7 linked regions of the Oryctolagus cuniculus genome follow. The protein of the gene in region 2 interacts with the protein of the main gene of each other region in a pairwise test. Links are inferred from orthologs where the notes say so. Each region holds a gene or a part of one and is shown on either strand. Other genes may lie near its edges.

What was found.
Region 1: the proteins of RNF11 (region 2) and UBQLN2 interact in binary tests that used the Homo sapiens proteins (3 or more experiments, as listed by UniProt). The link is inferred for Oryctolagus cuniculus from reciprocal best matches to the Homo sapiens genes RNF11 and UBQLN2.
Region 3: the proteins of RNF11 (region 2) and SMURF1 interact in binary tests that used the Homo sapiens proteins (3 or more experiments, as listed by UniProt). The link is inferred for Oryctolagus cuniculus from reciprocal best matches to the Homo sapiens genes RNF11 and SMURF1.
Region 4: the proteins of RNF11 (region 2) and WWP2 interact in binary tests that used the Homo sapiens proteins (3 or more experiments, as listed by UniProt). The link is inferred for Oryctolagus cuniculus from reciprocal best matches to the Homo sapiens genes RNF11 and WWP2.
Region 5: the proteins of RNF11 (region 2) and STAM2 interact in binary tests that used the Homo sapiens proteins (3 or more experiments, as listed by UniProt). The link is inferred for Oryctolagus cuniculus from reciprocal best matches to the Homo sapiens genes RNF11 and STAM2.
Region 6: the proteins of RNF11 (region 2) and RNF168 interact in binary tests that used the Homo sapiens proteins (3 or more experiments, as listed by UniProt). The link is inferred for Oryctolagus cuniculus from reciprocal best matches to the Homo sapiens genes RNF11 and RNF168.
Region 7: the proteins of RNF11 (region 2) and RABGEF1 interact in binary tests that used the Homo sapiens proteins (3 or more experiments, as listed by UniProt). The link is inferred for Oryctolagus cuniculus from reciprocal best matches to the Homo sapiens genes RNF11 and RABGEF1.

The regions. Positions count from the first base shown.
Region 1 is NC_091453.1:39,986,967-39,991,243, forward strand, and holds the start of UBQLN2 (ubiquilin-2), read left to right. Parts: upstream 1-1,477; 5' UTR 1,478-2,161; coding exon 2,162-4,039; 3' UTR 4,040-4,277. UniProt on the Homo sapiens protein: Plays an important role in the regulation of different protein degradation mechanisms and pathways including ubiquitin-proteasome system (UPS), autophagy and the endoplasmic reticulum-associated protein degradation (ERAD) pathway.
Region 2 is NC_091438.1:121,670,606-121,674,105, forward strand, and holds part of RNF11 (RING finger protein 11), read right to left. Parts: intron 196-3,500; coding exon 26-195; intron 1-25. UniProt on the Homo sapiens protein: Essential component of a ubiquitin-editing protein complex, comprising also TNFAIP3, ITCH and TAX1BP1, that ensures the transient nature of inflammatory signaling pathways. Promotes the association of TNFAIP3 to RIPK1 after TNF stimulation.
Region 3 is NC_091450.1:41,299,875-41,303,374, reverse strand, and holds the end of SMURF1 (E3 ubiquitin-protein ligase SMURF1), read left to right. Parts: intron 1-186; coding exon 187-271; intron 272-1,335; coding exon 1,336-1,435; 3' UTR 1,436-3,158; downstream 3,159-3,500. UniProt on the Homo sapiens protein: E3 ubiquitin-protein ligase that acts as a negative regulator of BMP signaling pathway. Mediates ubiquitination and degradation of SMAD1 and SMAD5, 2 receptor-regulated SMADs specific for the BMP pathway.
Region 4 is NC_091449.1:53,031,632-53,035,131, forward strand, and holds part of WWP2 (NEDD4-like E3 ubiquitin-protein ligase WWP2), read left to right. Parts: coding exon 1-122; intron 123-584; coding exon 585-705; intron 706-965; coding exon 966-1,070; intron 1,071-2,204; coding exon 2,205-2,301; intron 2,302-2,479; coding exon 2,480-2,552; intron 2,553-2,970; coding exon 2,971-3,070; 3' UTR 3,071-3,500. UniProt on the Homo sapiens protein: E3 ubiquitin-protein ligase which accepts ubiquitin from an E2 ubiquitin-conjugating enzyme in the form of a thioester and then directly transfers the ubiquitin to targeted substrates.
Region 5 is NC_091434.1:89,730,179-89,733,678, forward strand, and holds part of STAM2 (signal transducing adapter molecule 2), read left to right. Parts: intron 1-495; coding exon 496-580; intron 581-1,857; coding exon 1,858-1,933; intron 1,934-2,044; coding exon 2,045-2,143; intron 2,144-3,500.
Region 6 is NC_091435.1:83,028,007-83,032,159, reverse strand, and holds the start of RNF168 (E3 ubiquitin-protein ligase RNF168), read left to right. Parts: upstream 1-1,353; 5' UTR 1,354-1,538; intron 1,539-1,666; exon of another isoform or gene 1,667-1,789; intron 1,790-1,876; 5' UTR 1,877-1,913; coding exon 1,914-2,214; intron 2,215-4,153. UniProt on the Homo sapiens protein: E3 ubiquitin-protein ligase required for accumulation of repair proteins to sites of DNA damage. Acts with UBE2N/UBC13 to amplify the RNF8-dependent histone ubiquitination.
Region 7 is NC_091450.1:66,536,570-66,540,069, forward strand, and holds part of RABGEF1 (rab5 GDP/GTP exchange factor), read left to right. Parts: intron 1-26; coding exon 27-193; intron 194-3,500. UniProt on the Homo sapiens protein: Rab effector protein acting as linker between gamma-adaptin, RAB4A or RAB5A. Involved in endocytic membrane fusion and membrane trafficking of recycling endosomes. Stimulates nucleotide exchange on RAB5A. Can act as a ubiquitin ligase.

The sequences.
Region 1 (4,277 bases), on a different chromosome or scaffold from region 2:
TTTTTGAAATAAAATGAGTTTTTACAGATTTAATTAAAATTCCCTTTAATCACTCTTCCGCATCCTTTTTCATTTCCTCTTCCATATGGGTGGAAGTTTGGAATAAATCATTGTAGTATATTTCTAATAGAACATTTCCCATATATGTGAGTGTTTCTATAAACACCATAGACCATGGTTTGGAATGTGCTAATAAATTAGGTTTTTTATTTTTATACATATATTAATATATTAAAATAAATTTATTATTTTGATTTTGTATCATATTAATCATACTCTATTATTAATTGATGGCTACCACATACCTTTATTTTTCTAATCATGATATATTAAGGTGTTGGTGACCCAGTGATTTTGACTTGCTGTTAAAAGTTCCCTAGATACTTAAAGGCAGAACTATTTTGTCTGTGGTCCTAACCAGGGTTAGAATTACATACATAAATTTGTATTTCTTCTATTATTCAATTTCTCTTCATCAGCACTGCCACATCTTTACTTAGTTTAATCTTTAATGAAAGGAAGTAAATATGTTAATATCTGCCATTACTATTGTGTATTTATCAATTTCAACCTATACTCTTTCTCCAAAATATATTTCTGATTTAAACAATTATAAATAAAGTGCATACTTATAAAAATCATCTGAAAATTCAAAATCTTTTAAACGCAAATTAAGAATCATTGACAATTGAAGCACTCAGTAATAACTACCATCATTAACATATTGGTGTATAGCCTGTAAAGTTTTCCTTTTTTTACATGCATTCATGCATGCATGCAACCAGTCTAGATATACAACTAATTGTCAAATATTAGTTCTAAAATAATTTATTGTATTTTTATATTTAGATATACATGGTTGTACAGTTTCTAACATACAGAAATATATAAAGCCAAAAGCAAAAACACTCTGAAATTTTCCCTGTAAGTATAGTTTATTTCATATACAACTTTAAGGAAATTAACCACCTGTGTTTTAAAGATAGCAAATATTACTTCATTATATAATATAATGTGCTTGACTGGTCCCCTGTAAACAGAGTACTTTAAAATGTTTAAATAATATTTTTAAATGGTGCAGTTCTTATCCATATAATACATATTTTTGCATCCTTATCCAATTGTTTTAAGATGTCTGTAGATGAGAGATTTCTAAATAAAGGTGGTAGAAGCATTTTAAATGTTAATGTTTATTTTCAAATTGTTCTATAACAATTCACACTTCAACTAGCATGAGAGTGCATTTTTTCAGCTCCCTGTCAATGAGGTTTACCATTATTTTTCTTTTGCCAATACAATAAGCCAAAAGTAGAATTTCATTGTTTTAATTTGAATTTCTTTGATTACTAGTGATTTAATCATCTTTCTTATGCCTAATGGCCACTTACAGGTTTTTAAAATGCAAGCTCTTGCCGGGTCTTCTCCCCTTCCCCCATTGTGGGTGGTCCTCTCTCCTTTTTGCTTTGTCAGAGTTCTTTATTATTCATCTTTTGTCTTTTATATGGGATCGGTTTGATTCATGCTTTCATCCTTTTCCTGCCTTACAGATTGCGAACATATATTCTCCATTGGTCTTTTAATGTCGTTTATAGAAGCTGGTTTCTTCTGCCTCCTCCCTCTCTTCCTCCCTCCCTCCCTGCTTCGCTTCTTGTTTTCTCTTTCATTCTAGTCCTTGCTCTTCTCTTTTTGTTTCTCTCCCCCTTTCCCTTTCTCTCTCCCTCTCTTCCACTCTCCCTCTCTCCCTCTGTTTTCAGGGCAGAAGTTTTTAATTTTGACCGAGTCAGATCTATCAATCAGGGCCTGGCGCCGCGTCAGCAGAGTGGGGCGGGGAGGAGAGCGCGGAGCTGGGGGAGGGGAAGGGGCGGGGAGGAGCGGGCGGAGCGGTTGCGGGAGTTGCTGGGAGTGCGCGCGGTCGGATCACAAGCGGCGGCGGAGGAGGCCCAGAGACCTGAGCGCGGAGACCTCAGCCTGAGGCCTACGCTGAGCCCTCTCTCCACCGGAGGACCAGGGAACCGCAGTTCTCATCACAGAGGTACCGTGCTCCGCGCTCCCCGCCCGGCCCGACTCAGCCCGCTGCGGCGGCGCCTCCTTCCTTCCTCTTTCCCTCGCTGTGTCTCGCCCGCCCGCGCCTTCCCTGCCCGCCTGCGTCACCGCGGCCGCCATGGCTGAGAACGGCGAAAGCAGCGGCCCCCCGCGCCCCTCCCGCGGCCCTGGTGCGGCCCAAGGCTCGGCCGCCACACCAGCCGAGCCCAAAATCATTAAAGTCACTGTGAAGACCCCCAAAGAGAAAGAGGAGTTCGCAGTGCCCGAAAATAGCTCGGTCCAGCAGTTTAAGGAAGCGATTTCGAAACGCTTCAAATCTCAAACCGATCAGCTAGTGCTGATTTTTGCCGGAAAAATCTTAAAAGATCAAGATACCTTGATGCAGCATGGCATCCATGATGGACTGACTGTTCACCTTGTCATCAAAAGCCAGAATCGACCTCAGGGCCAGTCCAGTACACAGGCTAGCAGTGCCGCGGGAACTACTACTACCTCGGCGTCGACTCCCAGGAGTAACTCCACACCTATTTCCACAAATAGCAACCCTTTTGGGTTGGGGAGCCTGGGAGGACTTGCAGGCCTTAGCAGCCTAGGCTTGAGCTCTACTAGCTTCTCTGAGCTCCAGAGCCAGATGCAGCAGCAGCTCATGGCCAGCCCTGAAATGATGATCCAAATCATGGAAAATCCCTTTGTTCAGAGTATGCTTTCGAATCCTGATCTGATGAGGCAGCTCATTATGGCCAATCCACAGATGCAACAATTGATTCAGAGAAATCCAGAAATCAGTCATCTGCTCAACAACCCAGATATAATGAGGCAGACCCTTGAAATCGCCAGGAATCCAGCCATGATGCAAGAGATGATGAGAAATCAAGACCTGGCTCTCAGCAATCTCGAAAGCATCCCAGGTGGCTACAATGCACTACGGCGCATGTACACTGACATTCAAGAACCGATGCTGAATGCCGCACAAGAGCAGTTTGGGGGTAATCCGTTTGCCTCGGTGGGGAGCAGTTCCTCCTCTGGAGAAGGTACTCAGCCTTCCCGCACAGAAAATCGAGATCCACTACCTAATCCATGGGCACCACCACCGGCCACACAGAGTTCTGCGACCACCAGCACGACCACAAGCAGTGGCAGTGGATCTGGCAGTGGCTCCAGCAATGCTACTGGGAACACCGTGGCTGCAGCTAATTATGTCGCCAGCATCTTCAGTACTCCAGGAATGCAGAGTCTGCTGCAACAGATAACAGAAAACCCCCAGCTGATTCAGAATATGCTGTCTGCACCCTACATGAGAAGCATGATGCAGTCACTGAGCCAGAATCCAGATTTGGCTGCACAGATGATGCTGAATAGCCCTCTATTCACTGCAAATCCTCAGCTGCAGGAGCAGATGCGTCCACAGCTCCCAGCTTTCCTTCAGCAGATGCAGAATCCAGACACACTATCAGCCATGTCAAACCCAAGAGCAATGCAGGCTTTAATGCAGATCCAGCAGGGACTACAGACATTAGCCACTGAAGCCCCTGGCCTCATCCCAAGCTTCACTCCAGGTGTGGGAGTGGGAGTGCTGGGAACCGCCATAGGCCCGGTCGGCCCGGTCACTCCCATAGGCCCCATAGGCCCTATAGTCCCTTTTACCCCGATAGGCCCCATTGGGCCCATAGGACCCACTGGTCCTGCAGGCACCCCTGGGTCCACTGGCTCTGGTGGCCCCACTGGGCCCAACGTGTCCAACTCTGCACCCAGTGAAACCACGAGTCCAACATCAGAAGCTGGACCGAACCAGCAGTTCATTCAGCAAATGGTGCAGGCTCTGGCTGGAGCAAATCCTCCACAGCTTCCGAATCCAGAAGTCAGATTTCAGCAGCAACTGGAACAGCTCAACGCAATGGGGTTCTTAAATCGTGAAGCAAACTTGCAGGCTCTAATAGCAACAGGAGGCGACATCAATGCAGCCATTGAGAGGCTGCTGGGCTCGCAGCCCTCGTAATTACATTTCTGTACCTTGAAAAAAATGTATCTTATTTTTGATAATGGCTCTTAAATCTTTAAACACACACAGAATTGTGCTTTACTTTGATTTTGATGCTTTTAAATCTGTCTAGTTATAAATCTTAATATGATGCATTTTAAGGTGGAGTCCTTCCCTCCCTCTTTCCTTCTTTTCTCCCTTCCCCCTTCCTACCCTTCCCCATTCCCCTTTCCCTTTTCCCTCTCCCTCTCTTTTC
Region 2 (3,500 bases):
AAGTATAAATTTATTAAAAACTTACTCCCGGATCTTTTTCTCTGATCCATCTCTTCCAGGGTCATAAACTCCTTTAGGCAGATGCTGTATAAGGCCTATTCTTTGAGCTATCCTAATTTGTTCCTCTTCAGTCAGCTGAGTTGCTAGCCGAGTCTGGCTGGGTGTTGGATGATAGACTGGAACAGGAACTTGTTCCTAAATTTTTAAAAATGGAGAAAATGATTATTTTTTAAGAAAATTTCTAGAGATCATGCTTTTCCTTTTTAATGGGGGTAGGAGGCTACATATGGCAAGCAGAAGGGGTCCTGGGAGAGATAGCAAGCTGGTCTACTGTGCAGATTGTGTCTTAATATTGACTTCTAGAACAAAAAATACATAAAAAATTCACATTTAGATATGTGACCTACTTTTAAAGGATCTAAAAACAAGCAACACTTAAAAACTTGCATGGAATGTTAATTTAACTAGTTCCACATGAAGAATTTACCCAGATATGCTCATTCTGAATACACCAACAGATAAATCAATATAAACAGATCTGTCAAGCAATTAATGAACCAGACTGTACTCAATAAGCTAATTTAATATTCTATAGGTTGCGATGGAATTATGCCAGTTTACCAATTTTTTTCAAATTTATTTATTTGAAAGGCAGAGTTGGAGAGAGAGAGAGAGAGAGAGAGAGAAGATACATATAGTGAGAGATCATTCATCCACTGGATCACTCCCCAAATGGCCCCAACAGCCAGGGCTGGGCATGGCCGAAGCCAGGGGCCCAAACACTTAGGCCATCTTCCACTGCTTTCCCAGTTGCCTCCGCAGGGAGCTGGATTGAAGGTGGAGCAGCTGGGAATCTAACTGGTACCCATATGGGATGCTGGCATTGCAGGCCGTGGCACTGACCTGCCGTGCCACAGCACCAGTCCCCCAAAATGACTTTTCTTCAAGAATATTTTCTCAGTGAATTCACCTGTGGCATATGCCTCAACACTATCAATTTTTTACTTTTCAATGCAATGCTGGCCCCCGATATCATGTTCTTAAACTACCTAGTCTAAAAATTTAACACAGCCTTTAAAAAACTTTTTTTGGGAGAGGGAGGGATTACTTGAAAGGTAGACTTACAGAGAGACAGGGAGAAACAGTCACAGAGATTCATTTGAGGATTTACTTCCCAAATGGCCACAATGACCAAAGCTGGGCCATGCAGATGCCAGGAGCCAGAAATACCTACTGGGTCTCCCACTGAGTGGCAGGTGTTGCAGACAGTGGCTTACCCTGCTATGCCACAATGTAAGCCCCAAATCAAATAGGCTTTTAAAGAAACAAAAAATTTTTGTTCAGGGGCCAGCACTGTGGTATAGTGGGTAAAGCCACTACCTGCAGTGCCAGCATCCCATATGGGTGTTGGTTCGAGTCCCAGCTGCCCCTCTTCCAATTCAGTTCTCTGCTATGGCCTGGGAAAGCAGTAGAAGATGACCCAAGTCCTTGGGCCCCTGAACCCATGTGGGAGACAGGGAAGAAGCTCCAGGCTTCTGGCTTTAGATCGGATCAGCTCTGGCTGTTGTGGCCATTTGGGGAGTAAACCAGCAGATGGAAGACCTCTGTGTCTCTCTGTTTCTGTAACTCCACCTTTCAAATAAATAAATTTTTTGTTATTCAAAAGAACTGTATTTGTAACCACAATATTTAAAATTGAGCTACTTTAGTGAAATGGAATTGGGATGCAGTGTGATGTAGGAGAGAATTTTAGGTAAAAATTTCTAAGCATGCATTTTTTTGTGGTTAGATTTCTTCAGTCTTATGATTCACTGTTTATAGGGAACACAGAAAGCAGAAAAGAAGAACAAAGTTGTACTACACAGGCAGGACATTTGGCATGGTAGTAAAGATGCCACTTGGGACACTGGCATCTCATACCAGAGTGCCTAGGTTCAAGTCCTGGCTCTATTCCCTGTTCCAGCTTTCTGCTAACATGAACCCTTGGGGACAGTGGATGATGGCTCAATACTTGGGTCCCTGCCACCCACAGAGAATACTTTGACAGAGTTCCTGGCTCCTGGCTTCAGCATTGCCCAGTCATAGCTGCTACTAGCATCTGGAAATTTTAGGATGGGAGATCTCTGTCTGTTTCTTTCTCTTCCTCTCCCCTTTCTCTCTGCCCCTTTCAAACAAATAGATTTTATTGAGAGTCACGAGAGAGAATTCCCATTAACTGGTTCACTCTCCAAAGGCTAGCAACAGACAGGGATGAGGCACGTCAAAGCCAGGAACCAGAAACTCCATATGTGATTCCTAAGTGGGTGGCAGGGACTTAACATTTGAGCTATCACCTGCTGCCCGACAGGGTGCACATTAGCAGGAAGCTAGATATGAAGTGGAGCCAGGAATCAAACCCAGAAACTCCAATATAGGATGCGAGTTTCCCAAGCAACGTCTTAAATTACTATGCCACCATAAAATTCACATTATGGATATATTTGTCATTTTGGTGGTTTTGTTTTGTGTTAAACCAGTACCTTCTAGTACCTTCTCAGTACCTAGTACCTTCTCAGTACCTTCTAGATAATTAAAATGATTCGACAATTTTTTTTTTTGACAGGCAGAGTAGACAGTGAGAGAGAGAGACAGAGAGGAAGGTCTTCCTTTTTCTGTTGGTTCACCCTCCAACAGCCGCTGCGGCCAGCCCACTACGCTGATCCGAAGCCAGGAGCCAGGTGCTTCCTCCTGGTCTCCCTTGCGGGTGCAGGGCCCAAGCACTTGGGCCATCCTCCACTGCACTCCTGGGCCACAGCAGAGAGCTGGCCTGGAAGAAGAGCGGCCGGGACAGAATCCAGCGCTCCAACCGGGACTAGAACCCGGGATCTGGCACCGCAGGTGGAGGATTAGCCTAGTGAGCTGTGGCACCGGCCGACAATTTAATTTTGATTCACATGCATCTTTTCAGAAAAACACAGAAGGAAATGACTAAGGCATCCTGGTATTTAAAGATGAATGTGGCCTCACCCTTCTTACCACATACCCCTAACTTCGTATTTTAATTTCTTTTTTTTTAATTTCTTTTTTTTATTTTTTGACAAACAGAGTGGACAGTGAGAGAGAGAGAGAGAGAGAGAGAAAGGTCTTCCTTTGCCGTTGGTTCACCGCGCTGATCCGATGGTAGGAGCCAGGAGCCAGGTGCTTTTTCCTGGTCTCCCATGGGGTGCAGGGCCCAAGCACTTGGGCCATCCTCCACTGCACTCCCTGGCCACAGCAGAGAGCTGGCCTGGAAGAGGGGCAACCGGGACAGAATCGGCGCCCCGACTGGGACTAGAACCTGGTGTGCTGGCGCCGCTAGGCGGAGGATTAGCCTAGTGAGCCGTGGCGCCAGCCTCGTATTTTAATTTCTATCATATCCGTTTAAAAAAGGTGTGATATGCTTGTTATCAATTATTTAGTACGAGAAAGACACTGAGTTGAACAGATTGGAGTATAAAAGCAGCAACTTTTAAAAATATTTG
Region 3 (3,500 bases), on a different chromosome or scaffold from region 2:
CGTGGTGCCCCCTGCTGGGCCACCCAGTCCTTCCCAGCTCCCCTTGCCACCCGTGAGCTGGCTGCCCAGGCACTGCTGTCCCCGCGACACAGGCGGAGCCGAGCCACCAAGCACACGGTGCCCGTGGGCGAGGGCGTGGGCACAGCCTGCCTCTGAAGCGCAGTAACTAGAATGTTCTACCGTAAGGTTCCACAGGCGCCGCAGGGCCCCGGCTGTTCACCATCCACCTGATAGACGCCAACACAGACAACCTCCCCAAAGCGCATACCTGGTAAGAAGCCCCGGGCCTGCGCCTGGTCCCGGCTGTTTGCATGTGCAGGACTGTGTGTGGTGAGCACAGGGTTTCAGGTGTTTGTGCCCCCAGGACACGTCAGGAGAGGCGTCCTGGCTGCCGCGCGCACAGGCCTGCGGGGCTCCTCCCACAGTGGGCGTTTCTGCGCCCCGTTTCCCGCCTTGGACCTCCTCCCTTGAGGCTTACATGTTGCTAGCCGGGGCGAAGGATTTGCAAAAACCCACTCTGCGCACACCGCGCATCGGCCCCCTCTGTAGGACGAGCCGAGCAGGGGCCCACCATCACGTGGCCAGGGCGCAGGCCTGGAGGGTCCTCTCTGGAGCTGAGAGCCCCCAGGTGGGATTCGGGTGGGTTACCTGACTTCCTAGCCCGACTGTCCGCATCTGTGAAATGGGTAACACACGAAGGCAGGCCCGGGGGTGAGGGCGTCGTGGCCCTGCCTCCAGAGTGGCTGTGGCGCTCAGGACCGGGATGTGCCTGCGGGCCCGCCAGCCCCTCTCCTCTGGCTTCCGTGCGGTGATGGTTCAATGCGTAAGTGGCCATGGGGGACGCTCCAGGAGCGCCAGCCCTGCACCGCGAGGCTTCGTCGTTGAACGCCGGGCCGTGCACCTGTTACAGGAGAGCAGCCGTGTTACCGAGGGCTTTCTCTGCATCAGCCCGGGAAGTGCACGTCCCCCGGAAACAGGAAACCACCGGGCATCTCCGACTCTCGGGGCCTGGATGTGGTGGTGCAGCACCTTTGGGGAGCAGTTTGTGTCTCCCCGAGAACACAATTTTGGTCTCAGATCAAGGCCCAGGGGACTGGACAACCATGCAGTAGGTGGTTAGTGGGGTCTGGATTCCCGGGACAGAGAAGCGCCTCCCCCCAAAGACAGAAGACGAGTGTGCCCCAAGCAGCACGGGGGCTGCCCCGGGGCCTGCCAGCCTTCAGACTGCTTTTGCTGGGAAACCGTTGCACTGGGGGGGGGGGGGGGGAGGGCGGGGCGGGACTGGGCTCACCCCTGAGCCTGTCCTGCCCGTGACCCCGGCGCTCTGTCCCCCAGCTTTAACCGGATCGACATCCCCCCGTACGAGTCCTACGAGAAGCTCTACGAGAAGCTGCTGACCGCGGTGGAGGAGACCTGTGGGTTTGCCGTGGAGTGAGGAGCAGCCCAGGCAACCGACTCCAGCTCACGCCCACCAGACCAGCGTACGCGTCTGTGCGCCTCCCGCAGCGCGGGCGGAGGCCCTGGGATGGCGGAAACCCAAGGGACAGGGTCGTCTCCCTCCTCCTCCCCGGGGAGGGAGGGAGCAGGGACTTGGGTTGGTGGCTCCCACCCGTCATCTTGGTCACAGTCCTCTCCCCTCCATCACCCATCAAATAAAGCGGCCGGCGTAGCCTCTCGCCCCAGTCGCACGGACGCTCTGCGGGGGTGGCCTGCACGTGGCGGCCAGGCTCGCTGGCCCCGCTGAGGGTCTGGAACTGGCCGCTGGTGCCCCCCGGGGGCCTGAGGTCCGGGCTGTTTCCTGTCCGGGAGCCTGGCTGAACGATGTCTCCCACCCCGAGACCAACTCCCCCTTCTTCGCCGCGTTCTTTATCCCATGGGAAGGTTTCTCAGTGAGTCCCACGCGAGGAAGCGACCAAAGCGCAGAGCAGAGCAGCGGGTGGCGGGGAGACAGAGGCAGGCAGACCCGCCCGGTCCCTGTGTCACAGGCAGGGGGCGCACACGGTCACACTCGCCCGGGTGTCTCCTGGGCGGAGCGAGGCCACAGCCAGGCCACCCCAACGTTTCCAGCCCATTTCCACTGCGCATAGAAGTTCAACAGTGTTCGTTTTCACGAAGCGGCCCAAGTTCTGTGGACACGGGTTCCCCGGGGGGGTGTGTTCTCTTGTCTGGGAGCGGGGGCGGGGAAGAGTACAGGGTAGTTCATTCTCAAGACATTTCACTGCTGTCGACTTTGAGTTGGGCCCTGGGCGTCCGCTGTGGCCGCCCTGGCTGCTACCGGGCCTACAGGCGCAGTCTGGTTTGCGGAGGGAGCTGGGGTGGGCACGGGCTCTGCACTGCCTGCGTTGCAGGCTCCAGGGTAGAAGGTGGCCCAGGCGGGCCTGAAGGGGGAGGAAGATTCCATGCGTTCCAAAGTCCCGGCGACCCCGTGGGCCTCGTTCCCAAGTTCTGCCTTGCCTGTCGGCTTCTGCGGCTCCTTCCCGTGGGGCCCCAGGCCCCAGCCCTGCGGTAGTATGCGAAGGAAGCCAGGGTCGCGTGGCGAGAGAGACTGCGGGGCACTGCACTGCCGGAGCCTTCAGTTCCTACCATGGTTTGGTCTTCAAACCACCCCAAAGAACGCCGTGGCGGGCATCTGGTCCAAGCCCCCGGTCGCTCCACGTGGACGGGTCCGTGTGATCTCGTGTGTCGTCCCCTCGCGGTCCCGGGCCCGCCTCACCAGCGGTCGTCAGCCGACACTCAGGGATGCAGCCAGCCACCGCCCTGCCAGGCGGCGGCCGGGGACGCTGTGGGGACAGGCGGAGACCAGGGTGTGCCCACGGCAGCCTTCCCGAAACATAGGATGAATTTTTAAAATTTGCTTATTTTTGTTTCTCAACCACTTTATAATGTATTTTTAATTTATTTTGTAATGTCTTGTTTTTAAGTATTGCTGCTATCCTTGTTAATCTTCCCACTGTTTTTATTGCTGATTTATTTTGTGAAAGTTGTACACTAATGTTCTGTTTTATGTCAAAATCAAAAGTATTTAAAGAAATCCTAGTTCTATTTAATGTGGTCATGGAGCCCGCTGGAAACACAAAGCAGACAGCGACTGGCACACAGGCTGGCCCCGGGAGGTCAGGTTCATTTTGTTACATATGCAATAAACTCACCACTTTCCACGTGCGGCGTCTGTCACTCGGGCATGGCCATGGGACTGTCGGAGCCTGTGGCGTGTCTCCAGGGGCGCGAGGACGGGGCGGAGGACGGGCAGGGTCTGCTGAGTGCTGGCTCTGCCGGGGTGGGTTTTCTCCTGTTTCTCTCTCTCAGTCTTGCCACAGGGATGTGTGCACTGGGTCACTTGTCAATTCTGCCGCCACCACTTTCTCATGATCGCCGTGAGGTGCAGGTGCGGGCCGTCTGTGCCTGTGTCTGGCTCACTTCTCTTGGCTGGAGCACACGCTGGGATCTCCCCCGCTGGGCTGGCCGTAGGGTATCGGTGCTCACCAGGCCCTGCACTGTGT
Region 4 (3,500 bases), on a different chromosome or scaffold from region 2:
TGTGGCCTGGAGCTGTACTTCATCCAGGACATGGAGATCCTGGGCAAGGTGACGACGCACGAGCTGAAGGCCGGCGGGGAGAGCATCCGCGTCACCGAGGAGAACAAGGAGGAGTACATCATGTGAGCCCCATTTACATCTGTCTTGAGAGCGGCCGAGGGCCAGAGTGGTGCCGTCGGGGAGCTGGCCGTGGGCCTGTTGCTGCAGGCTGAGGGCTGTTGTGTTGCGTGCGGGCTTGAAGGGGCAGGGAGCGTGGAGGTGCCGGTCTTTGTCCAGCGCAGGATTTCTGTGTCTGTCCGCGGGCATCCCCGCTTGTGTGGGCTCCGCTGGGCCTCTCAGGCGGGTCTTCAGTGCCCGCAGTCCCCACGTCTCGGGCTCGGGCAGTGGTGGGGCAGCAGGAGCAGAGGAGGGTGGGGCGGGGGCTCCAAGGACGTGGCCGTCTGCAGTCTGTCTGTGAGCTGCTCAGGCTGCACTCTGGGGCCTTCCGCAGACAGGGCCAGGCTGCCAGGAGTGGACGCGGGGTGGATTTGCTGCCACCGTGTCCTGGCCACACCTGAGCAGGGCTCTTGGGTCTCTTGCTCTAGGCTGCTGACCGACTGGCGCTTCACCCGCGGCGTGGAAGAGCAGACCAAAGCCTTCCTGGATGGCTTCAACGAGGTAGCCCCTCTGGAATGGCTGCGCTACTTTGATGAGAAAGAGCTGGAGGTGAGTGTCGGAGGCCCAAGCCTGCTCCTTGACGTGTTCACCTTGCACCCTCGGTCCCCCCAGCACGGCGAAGCCCGCACTTCCGCACGACCGGAGGCAGCAGGCAGACGGTTCTGACCTGGGTCCTTAGCATCTACCCCGACACTTGTTTTGAGAAAGCAAGGGCTTGGATCATCTGAGTTACTAAAGCCCCTGGTGCAGCAGCCAGTGGCCGAGGCGGGCGTCGCTGGCACAGGCTGCTGACGCCTCTCCTCCCGCAGCTGATGCTGTGCGGCATGCAGGAGATAGACCTGAGCGACTGGCAGAAGAACACCGTGTACCGGCACTACGCCAAGAGCAGCAAGCAGGTCCAGTGGTTCTGGCAGGTGGGTGCTGCCCGTTCCCGCGGGCGGGGCAGGGGGCTTGCGGGGATGTTTAGGGGCCACCCAAAGGAAGAGGGGCTTCCCTGGGCCTGACTCAAGGATTCTTCCTCTTTGACCCTGTCCTCATCTTTCCCAACTTGTGAAAGGAGATGAGACGCCCAGCCGTGGGTGGGTCCCGGGCAGCCAGCATGTTGGCCGGTCGTGAGCTGCGCGCGGGCGGAAAAGCGCCTGCTGGTCCTGCGGTCCTGCGGCTTCCCTCAGCCGCGTGAGCTGGGGAGGCTGGCTCGCAGCTGCGGAGCAGCAGGGAGACTGGGCTGTATGGGTAGGGTTTGCTGTTGTCATTGTCAAATGTCGCATCCAGCGGAGTGTGCACGCGTGTACGTTTTTGTGGGGGTGAAATCGCGTGATTTGCAAGTCTCCTTTTTAAGTCTTTAAAGACACACAGCCCAGCAGCTTTAATATGTTCATGATGCTGTAGCTTCGCCACCACTGTCTTAATATTTCACCCCCACAGACTCTGTACCCATTAAGCAGTCTCTCCCATCCTTAGCACATCTTTTAAAAAAAGTTCTTCTGTTTTATGTTTTTAAAATATTTATTTAAGAGGTAGAGATGAGGCAGAGAGAGAGAGGTCTTCCATCTGCTGGTTCACTCCCCAAGTGCCACAATTAAAAAAAAAAATGGCTGAAGGTGGGCCTGGCCGCAGTCAGGAGCCGGGAGTGTCTTCTGGATCTCCCACATGGGAGGCAGGGGCCCAGGAACTTGGACCGTCTTCTGCTGCTTTCTGAGGCCATAGCAGAGAGCTGGATCAGAAGAGGAGCAGCTGGGACTCGAACCAGAGCCCATATGGGATGCTGGCGCCGTGGGTGGAGCTTAGCCACCACGCCACAGCGCCAGCCCCTTCAGCACATTTGTTAAAGGAAGAGAATACCTGGCCCAAGGTATCTCTAAGAGAAGGTGTCCCTTGTTCTGCCCATACAGCCACTTAGGGGAAGCACCTTTGTGGCGGCCTGGGTTGGTGGCTGGCATGCCCTGCCCAGTCTGGCCAAAGGGGCCTTGGCTGGCCCTGGGGTTTCTCAGGGAACGAAGTCCTGGGCCGAATGGGTCGCTGACTGCGTTTGGTGTGTGGGGCTGCAGGTGGTGAAGGAGATGGACAATGAGAAGAGGATCCGCCTGCTACAGTTTGTGACCGGAACCTGCCGCCTGCCTGTTGGGGGATTCGCCGAGCTCATCGGTAGGTTTTTCTTTGCCCGCTGTGTCCCAGCTGGTGTGAGGGGGGCCTGGAGTCTTCGTGCAGCAGTCAGTGGGCATGGGTTGGGAGGAGCAGGGGTCTCCTGTGGGCACCTGGGCTGTGGCCAGAGAGCCAGGTGCCTCAGCTGACAGCAGGTGCCTTTCTCCTCAAATGACCGCAGGCAGCAACGGACCCCAGAAGTTCTGCATCGACAAGGTTGGCAAGGAAACCTGGCTGCCCAGAAGCCACACCTGGTGAGCATGCTGGTTTGGCTGCGAGGAGCCGAGCTGCACAGGCCCCGTGAATTCTGGGGAGTGCCCAGTGGGCGCAGCAGCTGCAGGGCCCTGGGGTGCTGGCTTGGAGAGTGGTGTTGTGACGTGCCTGGGCCACTCGGCCTTCCAGGTGTGACATTTGGAGCCACGTCCAGCCTGGTAGGCCGGGAGCCGCTGCCACCACTGCCCCGCCCCTTACCGCTTCCCTGGCTGCCCCGCCCTCCCTAAGCCCCGCCCACCCTGGTCCAGGAAGCCAAAGCCTAAAGGTCCTGGGCGCTGGCGGCTTCTGCGGGAGCCACCCGGTGGGGTGAGCTGTTCCCTTCCCCTGCAGCCAGGCTGGGGCGCGCGTGGCTGGAGGGGCCAGGCCTCGGGTGCGACTGCTGCTCTCCCCTCTCCACAGCTTCAACCGGCTGGATCTGCCCCCGTACAAGAGCTACGAGCAGCTGAAGGAGAAGCTGTTGTATGCCGTCGAGGAGACCGAGGGCTTCGGACAGGAGTGACCGAGCCGGCCCCTCCCACGCCCCCAGCGCACACGTAGTTCCGAGTGCCCCTGCCTGAGAGGCCGCTGCCCGCGCAGCCCTAGGGAGCCCCCGGGGGGCCACCCTGCCTGCTTGCTGGTGGCCGGAGACCTTGAGCCCAGCAGGCCCTGTGGCAGCCTGGAATAAAGCCCCTTGGCACCTTTGGCCCCCGCACCCACTGCAAAGTGTGGAGGGCTGCCTCTCTCCAGAACACCCTCCCCTCCCCTCCCCTGGGACCAGCCCCGGGTGGGCGTGAATGTGCGAGGGTGAGCAGGAGGTCGGGCACTTGCGTTAGCGGCTGGGGCACCCGGGGAGGCCATGGCCCAGCCCTCACAGCTCCTTGCAGCTGGGTGCCTGCGGGAGGGCGCGGCGGACTCCTCCGGCTGGCTTCCTTTGTCCTTTTACATAAACT
Region 5 (3,500 bases), on a different chromosome or scaffold from region 2:
AGGCAGAGAGAGGAAGAGGGAGACAGAGCAGGAGACACACACACACACATATCTTCCATCTGTTGTTTTCTTCTCCAAACATCCACAATGGCCAGGGCTGGATCAGACAGAAGCCAGGAGCCCAGAACTCCATTCATATCCCCCATATGGGTTGTAGGGGCCTAAGCACTGTGGCCATCTTCCCCTGATTTCCTAGTTGCCTTAGCAGGAAGCTGGACAAAGTGGAGCAGCCAGGAATTAAATTAGTGCTCATTTGTGATGCTGGTTGGCAGGCGGTGGCTTAACCTGCTGCGCCACAATGCCCTCCTCCCCTCCAGCATTTTTAAGTTGACTAATCCAAGAACATGTAATTATATAATTTGAAATTGCCAGAATATTCTGTGTGTTCAAGTACATCCATAGTTCTTTTATCTCTGGGAAGGGAAAAGATAGGGCTTTGTAACTGCGTTATGTAATTTTTGCTCTAATTTTTGCTTCTGACTTTGTATCTTATAGAAAAAGCCACGAATGAGTACAACACCACAGAAGATTGGAGTCTTATTATGGACATATGTGACAAAGTTGGAAGCACTCCTAATGGGTAAGATGTGCAGTCATGCCAGTAAATGTCTAGGAGTTTGATAAATCTGTGTCATTTTAGTGATGCTACTTGGAAAGGAAAATGGGGTTTTACTATTGAACTTTGGAGATAAAAGTTAAGAAAGCCTGGAGGCCAGATTTTTTTACATTACTTTTACTCTGAAATAAAAAATGGAAAGGTTCATTTGAAAATCTGAGCTATATTAGATACTTAAAGCCTTGATACAACACGAACATGTGTTAATACTGACTAGATTAATTATTTGGAGAATTTTCCTCTGACTTAGACATGTGTGAGAGGCTTTTGATATTGAAGTAGATAAATATAATAATACAATAGGTAATACATATGATGAGAAAGCTTTTCAATAATGGATAGGTAAGTATAATAGGTAACAGTGGAAAAAAAGAGAATGCAACAGTTAAGCTGAATGGATTATACTTTAGAAGAATGATAAAAGCATTTGGGTTGGTTAGTTTGTTTAAAGATTTATTTATTTATTTGTAAGACAGAGAAGGAAAGACAGCACATGGCTCAATCTACTGGTTCAGTCTCCAAATGCTCACAACAGGTACTAGTAGGCCAGGCTGAAGCTGGGAGCCAGGAACCCCATCTGGGTCTCTCACATGGGAGCAAGAACCTAAGTACTTGGGCCGTAATCCACTGCCTTCCAGGGTACATATTGGCAGCAAGCTGGTCAGCAGCGCAGAGTAACTGACACTCCAGTATAGGATGCAGGCATTCCAAATGGCAGGTTAACCCACTGCATCGTGTCTACCACTTTATCATTTCAGCTGTTCCATAGCACGGTCATGTTTTATACTTGAACCTTTTAAAACCATATACTAGTATGTGTCAATTTAAAAATTTATGCACCAAAGGAATTTAATTTTCATTCTATTTTCCATGAGCTTTTTGAAGTACCCTCATATCTTTCTGATTTTTTTCCCCAAGAAAAAAATTTGCTCTCTGAAAGCTGAGTCTGTTGAAGAAATGAAAACTTGGTTTATATGCTGTAATTCTCATGTGTTAGCTGGCCTTTTGTGAAATCACTGATCTTTTGATTTTGGAATGTGCAACATTTACAGCAATTTTTTTTTATGATTGAATATCTGGACAAAAGATTGTGTAAAGCAATTTTATAGATTTATTTCTTTAAACAAGTGCAGTTTCAAGGACTTTACCTTTAAATTTAAGGCTGTTTGGTAATGAAAGACCTTATATTTTTAATGTTTAAATTGAAATTCTCAGTGATAACTTTCTCCATTTCTTTGTAGAGCAAAAGATTGCCTGAAAGCCATAATGAAAAGAGTAAATCATAAGGTTCCTCACGTTGCTCTGCAGGCGTTAACTGTGAGTAAAAGTCACATTGCTATTTGACTCAAATTTTAAATGTGCATTTATTTCAGTGAGTTAAGTAAGATATTTCAACATTTGTATATTAATTTTTATTTTAATTAATAGCTTCTTGGGGCTTGTGTGGCAAACTGTGGAAAGATATTTCACCTAGAAGTATGTTCCCGTGATTTTGCAACAGAAGTACGTGCTGTGATAAAAAATAAGGTAAATTTTTAAATGAGCAGATATTTAAATCATTTAAAAATAACTATTATGTCTCAATTATATATCTTAGTTATTGTAATTGAAATAATTTTTAGATAAATGAAGTAAACTTATTTTTTTAAAAGATTTATTTATTTACTTGAAAGTCAGAGCTACACAGAAAGAAAAGGAGCGGCAGAGAGAGAGAAAGAGTGAGAGAGTCTTCAATTTGCTGGTTCACTCCCCAATTGGCTGTAACAGCTCGAGCTGCGGTGATCAGGAGCCAGGAGCTTCCTTCAGGTCTCCCATGCCGGTGCAGGGGCCCAAGGACTTGGGCCATCTTATACTGCCTGCCTAGGCCATAGCAGAGAGCTGGATTGAAGTGGAGCAGCTAGGGCTTGAACCGGTGCCCATATGGAATGCTGGCACTGCAGGAGGCAGCTTTACCCGCCACTGCGCCAGCCCCATAATAAATTTATTTCAAATTTGAGTTTTAAAAAATTTTCTCCCCAAAGCATATGTAACTATTGGACACAACTAATCTTTATTGGGGTTTAGTAAGCAGTTACTGCTTTAAGGATTTTACACATGCTGTCGAATGCAGTTAACCAGCCTTGGAAGTTGTCTTGTTGCTGTTTCATAGATGCAGAGATAGGGGCTTAGAGAATTTGTCCTGGATCATGCAGCCAGTAAGTAGTACAGCTGAGATTCCTATCTAGGGTTCTGTGATTCCAGACTTTAAGCACTAGCCACTATTCTGTGCTGATTCCAGTTACAGTTGCTGAGCAAAGGGGCCTTTATTTTACAGTGAAACTCTCAAGTACTTTTCATATGCTATGAGGTGCAGAAATCCTCAAATTTATTCTAATTGATGTAAAAATCTATTACTTAGAATATTAAGAAAATTTAAAAGAAATAACCTCTGAATATTAAAGATTTGTTTCCAGTATAGTCAGACTTAAAAATTGATGTTCAAAAAGGTGATTTTGGCTGGCGCTACGGCTCAATAGGCTAATCCTCCACCTGTGGCACCGGCACACCGGGTTCTTGTCCTGGTCAGGGCACCGGATTCTGTCCCGGTCACTCCTCTTCCTGTCCAGCTCTCTGCTGTGACCCGGTAGTACAGTGGAGGATGGCCCAAGTCTTTGGGCCCTGCACCCGCATGGGAGACCAGGAGAAGCACCTAACTCCTGGCTCCTGGCTTTGGATCAGCGCAGTGCACCAGTCGCAGCACGCCGGTTGCAGCGGCCATTTTGGGGTGAACCAACGTAAAAGGAAGACCTTTCTCTCTGTCTCTCTCACTGTCCACTCTGCCTGTTTAAAAAAAAAGAAAGTGATTTTATGTGAAGCAGTTATATTTTAACATACAAATACTATC
Region 6 (4,153 bases), on a different chromosome or scaffold from region 2:
CACACAAGTCAGAAACTCCTAAAGATAAAGCAAAATGCAGGCACTAAGTAAGTTACGATCAAAACCATTATTACTAGGAACTGTACATGATTGGATGAATTTAAAAGAAGGGAATCCCTGTGTGATGGGGGAGGTCATAGTTGCATGCTTTCAGAGTAATGGAAATGTCCATGGGAAAAGCAGGTTGTGGACACATTAGGAAGTGGAATTTCAGGCTAAGAGACTGTAGATAGCTGGGTGATAACCTCAAGTTCCTGAACCCAGTTAAAACAAAAGTGCTGGGGCTGGTGGGTGATGCTCTCTACCTGCCACACTGTGAACCAGCATCTCATACATGGGGACCAGTTCCATTCCTGGCTGCTCCACTTCTGCCAGCCCTCTGCTAATGTGCTGGGGAAAGCAGCGGAAGTGCACCCATGGGGGAGACCCGAATAAAGCTCCTGGTTCCTGGCTCAGCGTCTGCCTGGCCCAGTCCTGGCTGTTGGGGCCATTTGGGGAGTGCCTCCTTTCTCTAGGTAACTCTGCCTTTCAAATAAGTAAGTAAATCTTTATTTTTTTTTAAAGAGTTTTATTTATTTCAGAGGTAGTTACAGTGAGAGGGTGACAGAAAGGTCTTCTGTCCGCTGGTTCACTCCCCAAATGCCTGCAACGGCAGGAGCTGCACTGATGCGAAGCCAGGAGCCAGAAGCTTCTTCCTGGTCTCCCACGCGGGTGCAGGGGCCCAAGGACTTGGGCCATCCTCCACTGCTTTCCCAGACCATAGCAGAGAGCTGGATGGAAGCGGAGCATCCGGGACTTGAACTGCGTCCATATGGGATGCCGGCGCCACAGGGCGGAGGCTTAACTTACTATGCCACGGGACCAGCCCCGAAATTTTGTTTCTTGACAATAACTTTGGCAAGCAACCCTTAGATCACTCATTAATAGAAACAAAAAGGTACTCTTGTACTGCGGGCAGAATTATAAAAATTAATGTTCGAGTCTTTAATTCGTTCTGAGGCTTCACGTTTCTGTCCACACGCCAGTCTTGAGGCACTCAAGGATATCTGCAGCCTCTGGGGGCAGAAAGCCAAGGAAAGATCTGGATCTACCGCAGCAGAACCGCGGGAACGGGGACGGCGGGAATGGGTGGGGCCTTCTCCTGGGAAGGCGGGGCAGGCCGGGATTGGGCGGCGCCAGCGCGCGCGCGCGCGGCGGCCTCGGAAGTCCCGCCTCGCCGAATGTTCGCTGTTGTGTTTCTGGACGGTTCGGCGGATCGGAAGTGCCATTTTGGCGGCAGTTGTGACGTCACTGGTCTGTGTACGGTTGCTACGGGACCCCGCCACGAGTAGCCCGAAGAGAGGGGCGGAGCGCGGAATCCTAGGAATCTGCGCGGGACACCCAAAGGCTCGAACTGGGGGCTCGCGGCGGCCCTCACGGCCCCGGGAAGACGGGGGCCCTGCGCGGAGCTCGACGTCCGGCGGAAGCAGTGCTCTTCCCGGATCCCGCAGCGGCCCCGGCACTGGGGGCCCCGGAGCCAAGAGGCGCATCCCGCCGAGGTAAAGCGGAAGCAGAGGACGCGGGCCCACTCCACGCCGCGCCGGGCGCCCGCACGCCCGCACGCCCGACGCCGCGCGCCGCCGCGGCCGCGCTGTTCAACTGCCGCGTCAGACGGAAATGTTCGTGTGTTCTCTTGGGGCATGTTCGTCTTCCCGGGTATTGCTCTTTACCCGCGCCTCGGAGCGCCTGCCTGCTCCCAGACGTGTTGGATGCTCCCCGTCTCTGAATTTTTGGCACGCTGCTGAGCTTCGTATGTAAACGCGAAACTTAAATTGGTGCCCGGTGGTTGACCGAAAATACGATCCTTTTTTTTTTTTTTTTTTTTTTTTTCTGGCAGGTGTTCATGTTGACTAGGCCTTGTTAGCAATACTAAAATGGCTGTGCCCCAAGACAACATCCCTTCCCTGTCGGAGTGCCGGTGCGGGATCTGCGTGGACATCCTGATCGAGCCGGTGACCCTCCCTTGCAACCACACGCTCTGTAATCCATGCTTCCAGTCCACTGTCGAAAAGGCGAATTTATGCTGTCCCTTCTGTCGCCGCCGGGTCTCCTCGTGGGCTCGCTACCATACCCGAAGAAAGACTCTTGTCAATATGAAACTGTGGGAGATGATTCAGAAACACTACCCGAGGGAATGCAAGCTCAGAGCTTCGGGGCAAGAATCCGGGGATCTCGGTGAGTGAAGCCCAGCGTGTTGAAGACGCAGGAGTGTGTGTTCAAGTTACTCTTGGAGGCTTTGCGTTTCATGGGCTCCAGAATGTCACAGTCATGGGCATGATTGTGGCTGTTGTTACAGTGCCCGAGCTTGTGCCTAAATATTGAGGGGAGCAGTGGTGGAAGTGCGCAGAGGGAACCGCTGATTCCTGTGTTAGTATTCTTATTACATTCACTTTGTCTGTCTCTTGACTGCCTCGTCTGTACGTCCCCATCATTTCTTTTACTATTCTTTTTAGCATGCAACGACCTAAAATAGCTCTGTGTTACCTGTTCCGTCCATTTCGGTCATTTTGAGTGTGAGCTTGGGAGCCCCACGCTGCACCCCTGACTCTGCTTGTCTCTGCTCCTGTGGGCAGTGAGCCATGTCGTGTTTCCTGTCTAAGCTTTGGATGTGCTGTTCTGCTCTGGTGTGCCTACCCTTTGATTGTTTTATTGTAGTTTAAACAGATAACAGAATTTGCTATTTTTAAACAATACTCACTTTCTTAAAAAACGGTTTTCCTGGCATATTTCACATACCGTTCACCCATTTAAAGTGTGTAATGTGATGGGGTTTTGGTATGCTGCATTATTAATTTATTTAAAAGTTGTAAAATATATGCAACAAATTTTGCCATTTTAAGTGTACAGTTCAATGGCATTAATTATATTCACAATGTATTATCTGGTTTTAAAATTTTCATTACTACAAGTAAACCCTTTCACCATTAATTAATGAGTTCTTCCCCAAGATCTAAGTTACCCTTATTCTAGTTTCTGTCTCTGAATTTGCATATTCTAGATATTTCATATTAGTGCAATCATGCAATATCTTCTGTGTCTGGCTTATTTCACTTAGCATAGCATGTCTGAAGTGCATGCACACTGTAGCATTTATCAGTTACTTCATTTTTGATTAATATTTTTCTGATATATGCTACATTTTGTTTATCTGTTCATTCATTGGTGGACATTTGGAATTTTTCTACCTTTTAGATATTAGAATGCTACTGATACGAACATTTGGTACAAATATTCGTTTGAATATTTGTTTTCAGTTTTTTAGTGTCTACAGTCATACCTCTGCATCCAAGGGGTTCTACTTTTAGTATCTTGAGGATGCTAAAATTCGTGGATGCTTAAGTCTCTTGTATAAAGTGGCAGTGTATTTGCATATATAATCCATATACATGCTTCGACATACTTTAAATCATCTCTAGATTATATTTAATACCTAATATAATATAAACACTATACCAATAGTTGTATTGCTCAGGGAATATTGATAAGAAAAAGTCTGTACATTATTTTTTCTTGAATGTTTTCAATGATTGATCCCATGGATGCAGAGCTTGCAGCTACAGAGGCTGCCTGTAAGCTAGGTGTGGCATTGCTGGATCGTACAGTAATTCTATAGTTAGCTTTTGGAGAAGTGCCAGCGTTTTTGACAGTGGCTATGCTGTTGTACATTCCCACTGACTATGTGCAGGATGTCCAGTTTCTTTACATCCTCACCAGTACTTGTTATTTTCCATGTTGGTGTTGTTTTTTAATAGCCATCCTGGTAAATGTGAGGAGGTATCTTACTATGTGTTTTCTAGAATTATGATAAACATAACAGAATTTACCATTTTTAATTATATAGGTCAGTGGCATTACATACATTCACACTCGGTGCGTTCATTGGTACCATCCAGCTCCAGAGTTTTTAATCTTCCCAAACTGAAACCCCACTTTCAGTAAACATTAACTCCTCATTTCCCCTAGCACCCATCATTCTACTTCCTGTCTTTATGACATAATTTCACTGTTCTCAGTTCTTTATCTAAGTGGAATTATGATACATATTTGTCCATTTATTTCTGGCTTATTTCACTTAGCATGTCTTCAGTGTTTATCCATGTGTAGTATATGACAA
Region 7 (3,500 bases), on a different chromosome or scaffold from region 2:
ATTCTTAATTGTCTCTTGAATTACAGACTTCAACGGGAGGAGGAAGAGGCCTTTGCCAGCAGTCAGAGCAGCCAAGGGGCCCAATCTCTCACATTTTCCAAGTTTGAAGAAAAGAAAACCAATGAGAAGACCCGAAAAGTTACCACAGTGAAGAAATTCTTCAGTGCTTCTTCCAGGGTTGGATCAAAGAAGGGTAATTTTCTGATACTCATTTTTTTTCCCTTTTGACTAGATCTGGGAAGCTTTTTAATTTTTGTAAGCTTTTAGAGAACAGCCTAGTTTAAGACTGAAATTGAGTTTGAAGGTCAGTGTAGGAAACCAGTACTTTCTTTGGTTGGAGGGCATTGTGTCTTAGAGAAGCTGTTGTTTGTTCTATAGGAGGAATAAAATGAAATAGCAGGATACAGTTGCTTATAACATGAATTCCTCTCCAGATGTCTGTCTCTCTATGCCTTTATATTATTTGGACCTGCTTTGTTCTTTTTATGCCTCTCACTGTCTAGCTGATCAGAAATGGCTGATTCTGGGGTGAAAATCTGGGAGAGAAATTTTGTGAGAGCTTACTTGAGAGGTTGTGTCTTGAGGAAATATACAGAGAACATATAAGAAAAAGTTCACTTAGGACTCTTAGCACAGATGAAAGTAAGCCATAGTATTTTCTAGTGCATGGATTTGTATGTAGATGATTTTATTTATCCTACAGTTTTTTTTGTGTGTGTGTGTGGTTTTTTTTTTTTTTTTTTTTTTTTTTGACAGGCAGAGTGGACAGTGAGAGAGAGAGACAGAGAGAAAGGTCTTCCTTTACTGTTGATTCACCCTCCAGTGGCCGCCGCGGCTGGCACACCACGCTGACCCGAAGGCAGGAGCCGGGTACTTATCCTGGTCTCCCATGGGGTGCAGGGCCCAAGCACTTGGGCCATCCTCCACTGCACTCCCTGGCCACAGCAGAGAGCTGGCCTGGAAGAGGGGCAACCGGGACAGAATCCGGCACCCCGACCGGGACTAGAACCCGGTGTGCCGGTGCCGCAAGGCAGAGGATTAGCCTATTGAGCCACGGCGCCGGCCTATCCTACAGTTTTAAAAAATGTATTTAAGAGACAGAGAGCAAGCTCCTATCTACTGGTTCATGCCTCAAATGTGCATAAAAGCCAGGGTGAGGCCAGGCTGAAGGTGGGAACCAGGAACTTAATCCAGGCCTCCCACTTGGTTGACAGTTATTTAGCCATCACCTGCTGCCCCTGCCCTCTGCCTCTCCCCAAACTCCCCCCCCCCCCCACACCATGGTCTACATCAGCAGGAAACTAGATTTGGGAACAGAAGGTGGGAAATGAGCCTGGACATGCTGACATGAGATAGAGGCATCTTAACTGCTAGGGTAAATGCCTGCCCTAGCCTACTTCTTAAAAATACTATGTAACCGGCAGGAGGATTATCATTGAAGTCACACTTATTCTGCCATTGAGCAAATGAACTAGTTGCAGTGACCTTGCATGAATAGTAAGAAAGAAGTTCTGTTATTAGGGCTCAGTTTCTTTCTTTTGATATTCAGTGAGGTAAATTTGAAACATTAGTGAGACTGGGACCCAATATTGATGCTGTCAGAAGAGCTTTTCTCTTGGAACTCTCTCTAGGTCCACAGTCCCCACCCCAGAGTAATTTTCTTTGCCTAAAGGCAACAAAATAAATAATAATGTCACCTCTTAATATCCTTGCTGATCTACCAGATATGGTGACTACTGTTTTCTGTATTACAAAGAAAGATTGCTTATGACTAAAACCACAATACTTCTGTTTAAGAAATGTACACTTTTAATAATCTTTATGTTCAAATTATTGATTTGGAGTTGTTTCTTTATTGGCAATTAGTTGTAGCAATTTTCTCTTTATTGCATAAGAAGGGAATAATCAGTACCTGCAGAGATTAAATAAGAATATATTTGGCTCATAATTTATTAGGAGGTTGTATAATAAGGTGGTTAAAAGCATAGGCTTTGGAGTCTGGGTTTGAGTGCCAGCTTTGCCATTCACTAGCTGTGTGACCTTGGGAAAGCTAATCTGAGCCCTGTGTACTTGGAGGAACGATAATACCTACTGCAATGAGGCTGTGAAGAGGATTAAATGAGTTGATGCAAGTACGTAAAGTGATTAGCACAGTGCCTGACAAACAAAGTAAGAGAAGTAAGTGTTAGCTCCAGTGTTAGATATTTTAAAGGCAGATTGCTTTTCTGATAGAATAATTTCTGCTGGTCAGAAGCTGAGGGGCATTCATCAAAGCCGTTTATTGCTGCTTCGCTTAAATTCTGTTTCCTGCTTTGTGAAAGGCTTGTTAACCTTACATAGAGAATTTGTGATAGTGAAATAGTATGTATTTATGACAACAGATGAAATAGTAAATAATTATAAAGCTATCTGTTCTAACAACCTTGTTTTACAAATGACTATATGCAGTCCATGAAGGTTAACTAGCTTACTGAAGGTTATGTAATGAGTTGGAGCGTTGGGACTCAGGTCTTCTAATCCTGGTTCAACCTTTTCTCCTTATATACCATTACCTCAAATATGTATAGCTGATTGATTAATATAAATATATGTTGGATAAGGCTTCTCTTATTTAAGTACATGATAGTCGTGCACATTCTCTCACTGTCCTTGCTGGCATAAAAAAAATCTCTGTACAATGTGGGTCATATCCTGGAAAGATTCATAATCCGATGCAGATCCTGAATTTGAAAAAAAAGATTATTTATTTGAAAGGCAGAATGGCAGAGGAAGACAGAGAGATCTTCCATCTGCTAGTTCACTCCCCAAATGGCCACAATAACCAAGATTGGGCCAGGCCAAAACTGAGAGCCTAGAGCTCTATCCCATTCTTGCACATGGGTGGCAGGGGCCCAAGTATGTAGACCATTTTTTGCCATTTTGCCAGGCACATTAGCAGAGAGCTGATCAGTAGTAGAACAGCCAGAATTCAAACCGGCACCCTAATATGGGATGTAGGGGTAGTAAGCAGTGTCTTAATTCACTGTTCCACAACATTGGCCCCAGAGCCTGTGTTTTAAAAATGAATGATCACAATTGATTTTTATTTTAAAAAACATGTATACAGAATAGTTTTTTACCTTTTTTCTTTTGGATAATAGTTATGTATTTCAGATTTTTTTCCATTTAGTTGTTTTGTTTTTGTAGAAAGTTTCTGATGGGAAAGTCCTTAAAGTTTGTTTGTTTTTAAAGATTTCTTTGCAAAGCAGAGTTACCAGGGCGGGAGGGGAGGGAGAGATAGAGAGAGAGATCTTCCATCCTTTGGTTCACTCCCTAAATGGCTGCAACAACTGGATCTGGGTTGATCTGAAGCCAGGAATCAAGATCTTCTTCTGAGTCTCCCATGTGGGTGCAGGGGCCCAAGGACTTGGGCCATCTTCTGCTGTTTTCTCAGGTGCATTAGTGGGGAGCTGGATGGGAAGGGGAGCAGCTGGGACTCAAACAAGCACCCATATGGGATG